2 linked regions of the Rhinolophus ferrumequinum genome follow. The protein of the gene in region 1 interacts with the protein of each later gene in a biochemical or structural test. Links are inferred from orthologs where the notes say so. Each region holds a gene or a part of one and is shown on either strand. Other genes may lie near its edges.

The links. The genes of interacting proteins can lie anywhere in the genome.
Region 2: the proteins of ERBIN (region 1) and KCNA4 interact in a test that uses a peptide from one of them, tested with the Homo sapiens proteins (3 studies listed by BioGRID and IntAct, with this or other methods). The link is inferred for Rhinolophus ferrumequinum from reciprocal best matches to the Homo sapiens genes ERBIN and KCNA4.

What each region holds. Positions count from the first base shown.
Region 1 is NC_046290.1:42,188,443-42,196,188, reverse strand, and holds the start of ERBIN (erbin), read right to left. Parts: upstream 3,012-7,746; 5' UTR 2,749-3,011; intron 1-2,748. UniProt on the Homo sapiens protein: Acts as an adapter for the receptor ERBB2, in epithelia. By binding the unphosphorylated 'Tyr-1248' of receptor ERBB2, it may contribute to stabilize this unphosphorylated state.
Region 2 is NC_046294.1:26,997,029-27,004,553, reverse strand, and holds the start of KCNA4 (potassium voltage-gated channel subfamily A member 4), read right to left. Parts: upstream 3,001-7,525; 5' UTR 2,561-3,000; intron 1-2,560. UniProt on the Homo sapiens protein: Voltage-gated potassium channel that mediates transmembrane potassium transport in excitable membranes. Forms tetrameric potassium-selective channels through which potassium ions pass in accordance with their electrochemical gradient.

The DNA.
Region 1 (7,746 bases):
GTAATAGGGAGAGAAATGGATGGGCAAGTGAAAAGAGTCAAAGTAAAAATGCAAGCATCAAAGTATGTTTAAAGAAAATCCAGATAATAGCAATTACAAAAAGAAAATGACTTTGATATCCACACCACTAAAATTCTGCATTATCCCAAATACTTTGTAAACACTGCCATAATCTATTTCTAAGCCCAAAACAGCTTAAACTGTAAATCATGTTATCTATAAGCAATAATTTAAATGTCTAAATATGCACCTAATTTTCTGAAAATGTAAAGTATGTTTATTAAAGAAAAGTAGTGTTTATTACCAAGAGCTCAGTACCAATATCTTTAAAGTAAATGAATTTTAGAGATTTACCAATGTTATGTGTAAATGTCTATAATTACACTTCATTAAGAAATATGCAATAAAAATTTGGTTTCCATATTTGAATCTCTGTAAGCTACATGCAAAGTTTGCAATACCTTGTTCTCAAACAGCAGACAGACTTCATAATACTTGAATTAATTAGTTGAAGGATGAAGTTTATCACTATTGAAAACTCCTAAGTACCTTTAATAAACAGTGCCATTAAATGTGCATTTTTTGCAATATAAGCAAACGTTGGAAATGCTCTAGACTTGCCAACTTAATGTAAGAAAACCTACACAATACTAAGAAGATCCAAAATTTGAAATCATTTAAAAATATTTTAATTTATTATCGCTTTTTTTAAAACCTCTTTTTCAAATCACTGTCACATTTTAAACAAGGCTTTGAAAATACTTATAGTTTAGCAATGGATAAAGCCTAATATTCATTAAGTTAATCCAGTGCTAAACTAACAAAATTTTAAGGAAACCAAAATAAATTTTGCTTGTTTAGGGGAAAAAAGGAATTAAAGGCAACTACAAAGGTGAACACCTCGCTTTTAAAAAATGTGTTGTCTGCATCTCAACACACTATTATTGCTCCCTCAAGGAAAAAAAAAAATCAAGAACTAGAAAATGGGATTTAAGCAGTTATTTTTGAGTGCTACAATACTTTTCATATGTAAAATTTACTAATGCAGAGAAACATCTTCAAAAAGGATAATTCTCTGTAAAAGACTCGCTCTATTAAGGCTTTGTTGCTCTGAAGCCAAGTATAAACCATATAAGGAAACTGAAGTTCAATGCCATTTATTTTGCTCTGCTCTTTCAGATGCCCAAGAATAACCTTTCACTGCCTAATGATACGTTCCAAAAATCATAAAGTAGATCAGTTATGCACTTAAATTCCCTGATAAAGCTACTTTGACTTAACAGGAATTTCTTGATGGTTTACAAGTCTTACCAGCAACTTAAAAGAAAAAAAGATCTCCAAAAGCTAAAGTCTGGGGGGTAAAAATCAAAACAATGCATTACTATATATATTAATATACATCAACTAATATATAGCAATATATATTTATATATATTATTAGTTACAAGAATTGAAATGTACGTAATAAAGTAACAAAGAACAAGTTGTGAAATAATTCGAGCTTGCTCTTTCAAACCTGCCTTTCTCTTCTTTGAACTAAAGAAGACAATTTTTCTTGGGGTAATATGGAACATGAACAAGCCGAACAATTTATATTTAGGAAACACCTACCAACAGACTACCACATTCATTTAATAATTATTCAGGAGCACAGTATTATCTGTCACCTCTCTTGAACACAAAGTACTGGGGAAAAAATTGAATTTTAAAAGACACCACTAAAGAAACATTTTGTATTTGCTACGACCAAAACTAGTTTGATCCATACAGACTGCCGATTGGTTCACAAGTGTTTATAACTCTGACTGGTGGAAAGTTTCCCATGCTTCACTAATTCCGGCCCCCACAGTAGGTACCTATCACTTACTAGGCTGAACTGGCCAAAACATTAGGACCAACACAAAAATGTAAAGACTGTCTGTACTATACAAAAAAGCACATCTATTTACCACAATGTGACACCCATGAAAATCGTTTTAAAACGTTTTACTTCCCTTCCTCTATGTTCTGTTCTAAAGTGTAGAGAAGTCCTAACAAATCAAACTTACAAGTGTGTTTTTAATTATAACTCCCTCTTTATCCCTAACACTTACTCCCTTTTTCTTTCCACCACTCAGTTACAAGAAAAATCTAGCAGTCATTTGCTTTCAATTAATTAAACAAGTATTATAAGGTTTTAAATGTCTGAAAGAAACAAGTTACTAAAGAAATATATTACCTACCTGGAAAAAACGACTACGAATGGCAACCTCTTTTGTTTACAAAATCCAACGACATACATTTATAAGGGTTTGAACTAAAAAAATATCTGTACGATTAAAAGCCAAAGCCCAACTGGTAACAGTGTACACAAATGTGGCAGCCATCTCAACAGCAAATCACTCGCTGCAGCGACCTAACTTCCTTCCAAAACAAAAGTTGCCAGGTTCAGCAACTTAATAAAAAATATACATTGTATATGCTCCGGGAAACTAAAACGTCTGGACCTTGCGCTGAACAAAGGCACTCTTTCTTCTGATTGCTTAAAACTTTTCGTCCCACTGCATTCTTACAAGCTCTTCTAGAATAACCAGAGTCCAGATGGTAGGAAGGGGGGAAAAATCAGTTCTATTTAGCACCTGAAACATTATCCAGTTCGACATTAGAAAAGAATTAGGACAACGTGGGGGAAAGTGAAAAACATTCAAGTATTCTTTCTTTCCTGGCCCAGGAGCTTTGTGACTTCTAGACACTTTTCGTGATAATTACCTTTCAGTCGGGCAGTGTCTCAGGGCAGCTTTTTCAAGGTTTCGCCAGACATGATTTCCTTCCCTTCGTTAGTCACTTTGGCTCCAGCCGAATTTCTCTACGGTGAGAGCGGATGTGGAGTGGCCTCCCGCAGCAGGACGAGTAGGCTGCTCCGGTGGGGGCTGGGAAGCGGGCTGGTCTTCGAGTTCTGCAGGAGTTTCCCAGCCCCAACTAGGATCTCCGCCGAAAAAAAAAAACTTTTCACTCGTGACACCGCCCGGAATTACCGTGCGAAACTCACTTCCTGCCTTGGCGAGAAGCAGGATCCAGCTCCGTCCAGGGGAACCCGGAAAACCAGCTCCGCGCGCGCCGAGGGGGCAGGGAGGGGGCGTCCGCCGCGAGCCGCTGGCCCGGGGCGACCCGCGCGCCCCGCACTCCCGACGGTGACAGTACCCAGCCGGCGGGGCCACCGACGCCGCCGGGACGCTGGACGGACCTTGGCCGCACTAGGCCGCCGCCCCCAGAGCCGGGCGGCGGGGTTATTGTCTCGATAGCGCCTGCCGCGCCCTACGCCCGCGCCGCCGCCGGGACCCGGAGCCGAGGGGCCGAGCTGGCTCGATGGCGGCCCCCTCCCCGGGCTGTCCGTCGGGCCGGCCGTCCTTCTGGCCGTCCCTCTCCGCCTTCCCTACTTGCCCTCGAACCCTCTTCTCCGCCCTCTCCCGGTTTCCCGCCGCCGGCCCTTCGCTCCCCTCCTCTTCTGCCCCGGCTGTGGTGGCTCCCCCGGGAAGCGCAGGGGGTGGGGGCGGGCGGCGGCTGCGTCTCCTCACGAGCTCGCGGGGCCGCGGCAGGGGCCGAGGCTGCGTCCCGCGCCGCCGCGCCACATTCACTCGAGCGAGAGACTGCGAGGGGAGGGGAAGCGAGGGGAGGGAGGCAGGGAGAGGAGAGAAAGGAGGAGGAAGGGGGCTGGGGCGGAGGAGAGTTACTGCCTCACAGGCCGCCGCGGCTTCGGCGCCACCGCCCCGGCGGCCAGGAGGCGGGGGGAAGAGGCTGCGCGCCGCGGCTCCGCGGCGGGGGCGGGGCGGCCTCCCGCTGGCTGCACCCCAACCGCCGGCAGCTGGGCTGGAGGCCGGCGCGAGCCAGTCACCGCTCGCGGGGGCGGCGCAGGCCGACGTCGGCGGCGGCAGGGGGCGACCGGCCGGGGGCTGGGGCTGGGGTCGGGGGGAGGGGCCGGCGGCGGCCGAGGCTTCGCGTGCGAGGCGCCGCGTGAGGCCCGCTCTGGTCCCGGCAGGGGGAGGCCTGTCTGCTGCTCCCCGGCAGCCTAAGTGGGGGCGCTTAGGACGCGGACCCCGGCTGCTCCGCGCCCGGCCCGGAAGACGGAGAGCCCGCTGACCTCCGCTGGATCGGTCGCTTGAGTTTCTTCGTACGACACTTATCGGTGCTCAGGGTTCAAGTCAAGCTCGATTTTAAGACTGCGGGTATCGCTTTCAACTGCAGCACTCCAACTTCCTCTAATGGCACGCTCAGTTTGCAGGAAACCACAGCGGCAGCTCCGTGGAGCTTCCCACGCCGGCCCTTGCTCCGAGCTTGTTCGCACAGCAACGCAGCTGGGGCTCCTCCAAGTCTCAGCCTCACCCGCCGGGGAGACAAAGCTGGCGAGGGGAGGGGGAAAACGGCCCGCGAAATTGCCTCGAGATAGTGCCTTTGTTAGAAGAAACGTTGGATACACTCCGAATGCGACGCAGGCTTCCACCGCCAGTGGTTTCGGTGGTGCAGTCGTTGAATTGCGCTGGCCCTGATAATTCAGCCTGGCAGGGTTTGCGTTTATTGCAGAAAGAAACTTAAGCTTTCTATCAGCACATATGGCAGAAACGCCTCAACCATAACATTGCACAGTTTTTGCAGTTACTGTTTCAAATATGTTAACAGACAAGACGGCCTTGTTTTACCCGGAGGAGGAACGTAACAGATACGGAACAAACCATTCCCCGCCCCCAGTCTGCTGTATTTAACTGGGTACAGTGATGGTAATTAGTTTCTGTGTCCCTGCAGTCACTATTTCAGTTCTTCGTCTGTGTTCCAGAGATAATTATTTATTACCAAGTTTGAATAAAGAGCTGTATGCCCTACAGATGATTTTTGGCTTGCATCCAAAAGAAGGAATTCATAAAGTCCATCAGAGAATTGTTTACCGAAGAGAGTTGTACGTTACTGAGACTTGAAATAACTCCAAAGATATTCAAGACATTCTATTAGGGGTGGGAGCATTTTAACTACTTCCAGAACTGCTGAAATTAACACAGGTAGTTCCTTCACTTAGAGCAGAGGCTGAAGGTTCACAGTACCAAAGTGTTCAGGCTTAATTCAGTGCTGAACTGGAGGTAAGACAGCATTACACTAGAAGCTAGGAAACGAAACGGCAACCAGGGTATACTAGTAATACGAAGCTAGTTATCCATTTTATGTGAACATGACTCTTAGCCATTGTATAAATTCTAAAGTTAACCTATTGTATTTTTAATCACAAAAAATATTTCCCATTCCACTTTCAGCAACTGGTTTGGGTCTGACCCAAACCAGACTCAGTGGTATAGCTCTAAACTGGAAGGATCACTGCCCTAAAGCCATCTGCCCAGGGTGGCAGTATCTCCCATACCAGCTCCAGCTGGATTTTGGGATACAGATAATGCATTTCGTCTCAGATTGATTCAAGATCCTTTCAAATGTGGCATCATATTCTAGTAAACCAACAGCCCCCACCCCAAACCTAAATGAATAGGACTAGACCAGTCCTTAGGCTAGGACCTGTCCTGACCCTAGCCTGTTTGGAAATTTAAGTTGATCTGGGGCACGGATCAGGCTGATTACCATTTAGCTTAGAAAAGTCCCTATAACCCAAAACCCCTTCTCCAATTCACCTGATATTTTGCCACTAGAGTTTAATTCCTTTTAGCATATTTCTCTATCACAAAGCCATAATCCTGAGAAAGGTAATATTCTAAGCCTTTTAGTTAGTTATATCTAACTCATCAGATTGTTTCCCTAAAGCAGCTTTGATGGGAAGGAATATAGACAGCATATGCTGAGGCTGAGTATGTAGGAGAGGGAAATGTAATAGAGGGCAATGTGGAGAGAACAGAAGTATAGATAATAAAGTATTCCATTTGATTGTTATGTAAGTCCTACTTACTCATACTGTAAGATCCCCAAAACACTGGTCTTAAAAGGATAGAAGACAGGATGCGCTTGTTAATATAACCTATTTTTTCTTTAAAAATCCCTTTGTAACGTATCTTCAGGAATACTCATCTGTGCTCACACAGAAAAGTGACATAACAGCTACCGTGTTGCCCCGAAAATAAGACTGAGCTTATATTAATTTTGGCTCCAAAAGACGCACAAGGGCTTATGTTCAGGGGATGTCATCCTGAAAAATCACGCTAGGGCTTATTTTTCGGTTAGGTCTTATTTTTCCGGAGAACACGGTATATGGTCAGGGTAGTCAATAATCAGGACTAATAATTCATCTTTGTTATTCATTGCCAACTATTTAGTTCCAACTCATGAACAGCACATACAGATATAGCCAAATCTTCCACATGTTTTTTATTACAAGGCATTCCTGGTCTGTGCTTTATAGATTAGTTTTCTTTGAAAATCCTCCCACAGTTGAACTTAAGATGGACTTAACAGTTTCAATTATGATTAAAAGAACTGAAACCCCACGTTAAACAAGGCTGCCTAAACCATGATTCTGTAATAATTAACTGAACTCCAGGACCAATTTAGAGAGTAAGCTAATAAATATTTGTTGATAGTATAGCTTTATCTTCCACATTGTGATTCTCTAAATAATTGTCTGTGAAAGACAGGGAATTCTTTGAGATTTCCCTTCCCAATATCTGGGTTCAGGAGAGGAATTACTGCCTACTAGAGATAAAGCCACATATCTGAATGGAAGCTTCAAGACCTTGCCAAACGCATTCCAGAGAATGCACACAGCATCCATCAGAAAAAGTGTCTTAGCAGAGCACCTATCCACTGCTTTAAAAAAGGTCCCCCTGTTATTTCCCCACGACAGTCAAGCAGCTGTGCAGAAGCATTATGGAGACAGTAAGCAGGAGACAAGGAAGAGATTAGGATGATCATTCTTCTTTTCTGTCTTCCTCAACACCTAGTAAAGAATTGGTTACCTAAAACCGAAGTTTTTATCGCAGAATTTGGGGAAAAATTAATCTTTGGTCCAGATTAGAGTTAGATTCAAAAAAAAGTTTAGAAGCATTAGATAAATTAGATCATAGGGACTGACTTCCCTATTTTCACGTCCATCTTATCCCCTTGGTAGAAAGGGCAAGAGGTTAGAGTGGCAAGTGTGCAGGGAACCGAGCTTGGGCTCAAAAGAGGCAGTACATGCAAGAACAAAAATTAAGGATTTTATAATACTTTGGGGATGTCATCATCCCTCCTATAGCATGTTTCAGCCTTCAGAGATTTTCAATGATACTTTATGAATCACAGAGAAGTCTGCCTCTATTTGTGAAAAACTTTTTTAAAAAAATTTTGATGTTTTTCCCCCTAGTATATGCTTGATAACATTTTTTTCTATCATATACATTTTGTAGCCTAGCAAAATTAAATTTCTTTCAGATGGCTTACAATTTTTTTTTTAAGTGTGGAAAAAATAAATAATGCATGGTGATTATTTGTGTGACCTCTGAAACAAGACTGCTTGACTTAGAAACTTGGCTTGGTGACCTTGGGCAAGTTCTTTAACATCTATAATAAACAAAGTTGAGTTTCCTTACCTTTTGGGGGACTACAATACTAACAGCCTCATAGCTTGTTCGGAGAACTACTTACATGGGACAATGCTCAAAAAGTGCTTAGCACAGTGCTTTGCAGACTCAAAAGTGTTAGCTGTTATTAGCAATGCACTTTAAAATGCACTGACAATATATACTATGCTTCCCTCATATAGTGTATCATCCAAACTAGAATACTTTAGAGAGTTAATAGACATTG
Region 2 (7,525 bases), on another chromosome or scaffold:
GCCTAGCACATCACCTTGTACACAATGGATACCAATAAACACTGGTTGTTATTGATAATGTGATAGTAACCTAAGTTTTTATTGTCTATCTACCCACCCACACATGTGTACCTCCTTGTACCACTGTCTGAAGTAGGGGAAGGACGGAACGTGAGGACATCCGGGACATTTTGAGACTCACCAGTGACCTATATTAAGTTGGCACTTCGTAACTCCCCAAAGCACATCCCTGTTGTTGTTTTCTGTTTCTCAGAGCCCAGAATGCTCCTTACCACCCACAGTCTAAGAGCTAATCCCAGTTTCCACTTCTCTAATAATCATCTTCTCTCTTTGCCATTCCTCTGTGTTCACTTCAGTGCTTCCTCCTACACTCTTCACAAGGAACTATCTCCTTATGTTTTAAGCCCCTGTTTGTGTGGACTTTGTTTTCAGCCTATCATACTCCACCCTCTATAATTTAATCCATAGCCCCCATCCCTCAACTCCCCACCTCCTCTCTCTCTGCCCACCTTTATTCCAATCTCCTACTTCCTGATGACAGCTTCCTTTCAGTCTGCCCTGTCCCCACTGCCTCTTGGTATTCCTGGCCTTTCTTCTTCTTTAGCATGCTCTCCCTAGGTCCCGCTAATTCATCTTGTCCACTGGGACCTGTAAAAGCTCCTGCCCCAATCTTCTGTCTACTCTTGCTTCTTCCATTCAACAGGACTTCTCTATCCAACAGGACTTCCAAGAATGCAGAAGAATGACCCAGAGAATTGGGGAGGATAATGACAGACAGAATTCAGGGCATCTATTTGCTTCTATTACTGGAAGCACTTGGGGAGCGTAAGAAAAATGGCTTTCTAGAGCCATTAACAGGATTCAGCTCTTGACCACCTGCTGCTCCTTGCTGAATCCTGCCAGCCAAAAAGCTGAAACACACCAAGTTTTATGAAGTGACAAGAGGGGAAGTGGCAAACACACATCATTTCTCAATCATATACATTCTCCTAGGGAAAGACGTGAGCTTGATTGGGGCACAAAACCCAGAAAATACACCTCTGAAGTTATCTCAAATGACATCCCTCTTCCTTTTTATGACTCATAACATCATCTCACACTCTAAAATGTTTACCCTCAGGAGATCTCCAAATCTCTATTTTTCACAGGGGAGAGTCAGGCCAACATCCTTTAAATTCTTTCACAGGCCAAATAGCCTGAGAGTTTGATCACTTACTTCCCCAACTCCTTCCAAGCAGTTATAATACACAATTTAAATAAAGCCCCAGTAAATTTGTACCTGTAAATCTGTACACTACGTACACCCCTCTCTCTTCCAACTGACTTCCAGAAATTCATGAATTAGAGGGTCTTCTCATTCACCATCAACTCTGTGAGAAGTCTAGACCTGCCCTCTTTTTGCTCTACACCACATAATTTCTTATTTATTTATTAGTTTTGTTGGTGTTGGTTTATCTCACGCCTTCCCCTACCCTACAAAAAGCAAATTACCTCCCTTTTAATTGGCTACCAGCTACCTCACTATCCCTAATCTTAAAGAAAAGTGAAGAACAAGAAAGAAGAAAAAAAGGAAGAAGAAGAAGAAGAAGAAGAAGAAGAAGAAGAAGAAGAAGAAGAAGAAGAAGAAGAAGAAGAAGAAGAAGAAGAATTAAAACAGAAAAAGAAGGAAAAAAATTATTCCACCCAGCAAACCAGGTTTAAAACCTCTCTTCCCTCTCAAGGTATTCATGTTAGGAGACTCTATTCAAGCCAACTCCCAGGAGCCTTCATGAGGGAGACTTTTGCAGGGAAATTTCCCTTCCTCTTTGACACCATAAAACTAACAGGACTGTGCAGATGACCAATTCCCCAGTCCCTGAAACCCCAAACAAGCTTTGCATCCCAGGCCTCCTCCTTCCACCCCCCACCCCCCACCCCCAACAACAAGGCTGTTTTCATCTCTCAGTGCTAATTCCTGCAACTGTCTTAGGGTGGTACCTGAACCTTATGGGGGGGGGGGGGGTTGGAGGGGGGAGACACTGAGAGAGAGACTGAGAGATTAAGAGACTGAGAGAGAGAATCAGAAAGACCAACACCGTAAGAAATATGCACTTCAGCGCACGCCATTTATACAGTCCCTATGTGTTGCTCAAATGCTCAGAAAATGCACGCAAATCCAAATGTGGGGAAAGGCAGCAATTCCAACCCGTTCACCAGCTGTTCCCCCAAAGGAAGGGAGCCGGTGAGTTGGGATGAGGCCAAACGATGCTCAACCTAAACCCAGCCTCTAAACGACATCTTTAATCGCACCTTCGCCTCTAGACCTAGGTTCCCGCTCGGCTACATTAAACAGGGCGCACGCACCCCATCCCTGGGGTTGGGAAAATAACAACTGTTGGCCCCCTGGAGCGCCGCGCAGCATCTGCACCTCCCTTCTCCCACCTCCTGGTTTATTTTTAACCGCCTTCCATTCATGCCCTTCTGTCACATTCCCGATATTATTTATCCCTCAAATGTCCACTGTTTTTCAACAGCCAAAAGAAGAGAGGGAAAAAAATGATCAGAGAGGCATCATACTTACCGTTCCCCGGCAGGGTGCAAAATAAAAATAAAGAATATCCCCCGGTTGGTTTTTATTTTCCCCCCTCAAGCTGCAACAGCTGGAGGAGGGGAACAATGATCTTGGGAGCAGAAAGAATCACGCCTGTGTGGCAGGTGGAGGCTCCAAAATATCCACGGAATAAGTTCTGTTGCCTGGCCAGGGGGGCACAGAGTGCTCGCTGCTGGAGCGCAGGGGTGGGCATCGGGGGTGCCCCAGGGAAGACCCTCAAGACTCCTGGCTCCTCTGGAGTTCAGCACAAAAGCGCTCGACTGGGAAAGGAAGCGAAGGTTCCCGAGAAAAAGAAACAAAATCCTAGACAGCAGCGATCACTTGTTAAGCCCGAATTCCTCCTCCAACACCCATCCCTCTCCCTCCCGGGCTGGCTGCAGCAGCAGCACACGCCTCCCCAGGCCGGGAACGCGCCGGCCGGGGGCGGGGCCAGGGCCGGGCCGAGGGTGTGGCGTTCAAGGCGGTCGCCTGGGGCGCCTCCCGCGCGGCTAGGCGGGCGCAGTCACGACTGCACGACTGCCCGCCTCCCCTTCTTGTCCGGCTCCCCGACGCCGAAACTCCGGGGAACGACTGGGAACCATTTCAGGAGCCCCTGGCTATCTCCCTCAGCGGAGAGACGCTAATCCCAGAGGGAGAGGTGTCCTTTTGGAGCTGAAATGGGGTCCCGACGGTAGAGCCGGATCCCCGAGAGAATTTGGGGGGGTGACCTCGACGGGAGGTCGTCTAGACCACAGGGTGCTTCTGGATGCCTTCTCTTCTCCCTGACCCGCTTTCTATACATCTATCCTGGCGCGGGCGCGCGCGCGCGCGCGCACACACACACACACACACACATACACACATACACACACACATACAACGGATTTGGGGGCTTGGGGGCTGGGTGTATCTCTGCCGAGGCCGCAGGCCAGGAGCCCTCCCGTCTCCTGCAAGCGCGCCCTGACCCCTGGATCTCCGCCTCCCTTGCACAATTTGTCGGCCTCAACTCGGGGGGTCAGGCCTCCAGGGCGCAGAGGAGACGGACTTGAAACGTGTTCCCCCCAGGTGAGGGGTGGGTTAAAGAAACTGGCATCAGGCCCAGTCTAAGGGTAGTGCACGCGAGGCGCAAGTCCCGTGGAAGAAAGTCGCAGGGCTCCGAGCTGGTTGCAAACATGTCTTGGGAGCGTGGGATCGGGGCGGGGGGTGGGCGGGTTGGAATAAGGGGAGGCGGCCTTCGTGAACCTGTTGCTGCAAAAAGAGATGGGACTCAGCCCGAGGTTTGGCTCCTGGGAAGTCTCTAAAGGGAGGTCTCTATCATAGCGGTCAGATCTCTAACACCACTCCACTGAAACCACAAAAAAGTACACCCCTTCTCCTCCCCGCGGTCAGGCGAGTGTACCCACAACGGAGTCCTCACCCCAGGATGGATTCTCAGGCTGGAATGTGAAATGCCCCTGGACCTGGATGTAAATATGCAATGCCCACAAATACACCAAGAGGAAGGACAGTGGTGGGAAATGCGAAATGTACAGGCACACAAGCTGATGCTCAGGTGACATCCTAGGCTCCGGGCACCTCTGCTCACTCCCCCTAATGGGCCAAGAAAGCAGTGGCAGCACACACCCGGACTGCTGGAGAAAAGGCGTCCTTGGGCGGGTCAGGTGGCATTGACGCTGCCACGGTAGTCCTCAGCTGGCAGCTTTGTTCGAGGGCCTTATTGGGCCTCCTCCTTTTGTGGAGCTTGATTAATTATTAAGAGAAATATTCCGGAGTTGAATTATAGATATGCCCTGTGCTCACTCACCTAACCACTGCTGGCTCCCCTTCCCACTGCTGGCTTTTCGTTCCTGTTTGATTTACAAAAAGAAAAATTAATAATAACAATAACTAAAATAATCACATTGTGATCAGTGAAAGGAAAACATGAAAGAAAAAAAAAGTGAAGTGCAACCTCACTTTTCCTAACTTATTCCAGCTAGTGCAGCTTGAACTTTTGTCATGAATAAATTTACCTGTGATCTCTTAGCTTCCACCCGGAGGTGGCGGAAGTAAGAGAAAGGTGCCTCCACGTGGTTCTCCAGAGGCTCTTTGCCTGGATACATTCCCCACTACCGGTCATTTGCAAGTATGGAGGGTGGATTTCTCTCAAAGAAAAAACCATCATGAGCAGTAGCCCCAAACCCTCTGTGCAGCTTCACAGCGTGAGGAAGGCACTGTGCAGTTTCATACCAAAAGCAAATAATTTGACTTTACAGTTGTCTCATCAGAATGATGTTTCTTGGGATAGTAGAGGGCAGGCCTGAGAGCACGGGATCTTGGGAGTAGTTTCCCAAAAGCAGATTGTGAGATCAATCATGAGAAACTGTGGTATGCTTTCAGGGAGATGCAACCTGAGATTGACTGACGTGTGAAAGATGGCAGTTATATGGAAGCTTGGAAATTTTAATGGGATTATGTTAAAACTTTAGGAATTATGCTTCCATGTGCCATTTATCGTCTGTTCCTATCACAGCCCAGAGAATATTTAAAAGTTTAAAATGCCTGGGGACTTTACAAATATGTGTACTTCTTAGGTGTCAGGAATCTGAATTACTAAAGCACAGGGAGGGTGCAGTCAAAGGCAGCGAAGGAAAAAACCACTCTCAGGAAGACATTCAGGTCATACAACACATACTTATTGAGAACGTGATCTAGACAGGTAACGCTCATGGAGTGCCCACTTAGGACCCAGTTCTGTGCTCCGTTCTTTACATGCATATTGTCTAATTTCATCTGACTAACGAAACACTCTGTGTGGCAGGTATTATTAAGATCACTATTTTATAAAGAAGGAAATTGAGGCTTCCAGTGGTTAACTAACTTGCCCAAAAGTTACGTAGCTAATTATGTAGCCGCACGGGGCCTTAAACATCTGACTCGCTGCACTGTGGACAAACCCCATGCTAGTGATGATAACACCACGTGGCCTATGCCCACTAGTCTTCACAAGCGAGTGGCTGTGTCAGAGGCACAGATTATGAAAACTAGAGAATGTGTGCTGTGATGGAGATGTGAGGATAGGTTCCTGGGGTGCAAAGGATGGAGAAGCACCTGACTGGGGAGAAGCAAGCACAGATTGACAAGGAAAGAAGAGCTGTGTCTGAAGAATGGTGAGAATTAGAGCCCCTGTTGAGGAGAATACAGGGGCACAGGGCACTGGGGTGGACCAAGAGTAACTGGAACCTGAGAGATAGGTAGGGTCCAACTGGGAATGGCACACTGGGACCCCAGCCTTCCCCCCTCCCCCCCCCCCTCTCTCTCTCTCTCTCTCTCTCTCTCTCTCTCTCTCACTCACACATACACACTGGCACACACACACACTCACAGACATATATACACACTCACACATTCACAGACACACACACTCTCATACTCACACATATACGCATACACAAAACTCTTTGCCCTTTTAAACAATTATAAAGCATTCAAAAAACAGTCCATTTCTTTCCGTGAAATCCTCTTAAGGATTCCTAGAAACCCACACAAACAGTAGTACAAAGATCCTTTAGCTTGTGACCAACAAAAATCTACCTGTCTCAATCCCAAACCTCTATTTCTTTTGGAGAGGAAAACATTATTTTCGTGCCTAGTCATCAGCTAGTCAAAATTTTTCAAGCGCTCCCCCTCCAAATACTCCTATTACAACAAATCTTTTCTCCCAGGCTTTACATTCTCTTAGTGGTGATACAGATGTTAAAGCCCGCATCTTGAAACCTTTGTTTACACAAAAAGGAGCACCTATCTTCCTTTGTACAAAGCAGATAGGAGGCCTTGTGAGATACAAACTAAGTCCATTAAAAATGCTTTTGTTCTCTTTGGGGACCATGGTCCCCAGTGAGTTGCAGCGTTCTGTTTACTCCTCCTCTCTTCACACAAGAAGCCCAGGACACCTTCCTGAAAATGTATTAAAATGAAAGAATAATGGAAACGGCTTCCATTTGCCAAGAACATTCAGTGCATGCGTTTGGGGAAAACTAAACGATGATCACTTTTTTTTTCCTGCTTACCCAGCCTCTCAACTATCTGACTTTTAAAGTTCTGAAGGTATGTGTCCTGGAGAACCTGACTCCATGCCTCCCAGTCCCAAATGCACGAATCGAATACAGATATTCTCAGCAGCCTATATTCCTTATAAACATGAGTCGCTCAGCTAGTTTTTTTCTTGTAGGTGAACTTTGCAATGACTGTTCACCACCACTTCCCATCCCATCTTATGATACCAGGACTGGTCAGGTCATAAGACATCGGAAAAGCATATTCCCTTCTTATTAAAATGAGAAAACATCAACCCTGGAGAGAGACACTGACTGCTGGCTTGCTTCCTGACTGATCACGTGCTGTGACAGGTGCAGTGGGAGTAAGGCAGCTTCTGTTTCTCCTGGGTGCACACTCTCAGCCCAGCAGGTGGGAACAGTCTGAAAGGTGTCACACCAGGGGCAGAGGGGAGCTGCACTTAATCGAGGTTGGAAAGAAAGGTTCTCAATGCAGAAGAAGCCACATGGCAAAGGCTTACGGGATGAGAAGGGCACGTGTGAGCATAAGCAAAGATACGCAGAGGATCCAATATGGAGCAGGAAAAGGTAAAGCGATGGTAACCTTAGATATGGCAACGCTCAGGAGTTTGAACTAGGGTCTAAGATACTACACTGCATGGAAGAACACTTTTCCCACTTCTACATACGGGACAGAGGTAGTTCACCCTCCCTTGGGCAAACCCAGATCAGCAGCTGTGACATCCCCTAAAAAAGACTGAGTTACAAGCATTCCTGGCCTTCCCGGCTCTTAGGGCATCCCTTTCTCCCCCATCTGTGACTGCATCTCGGGAGCCACAGGAGTGAAACTGAATTGGCCTCACCATAAGTCACCTCAGATTTAGTTTTCCAAATGCACATCAATGAAAACTGTCCTTCTTTA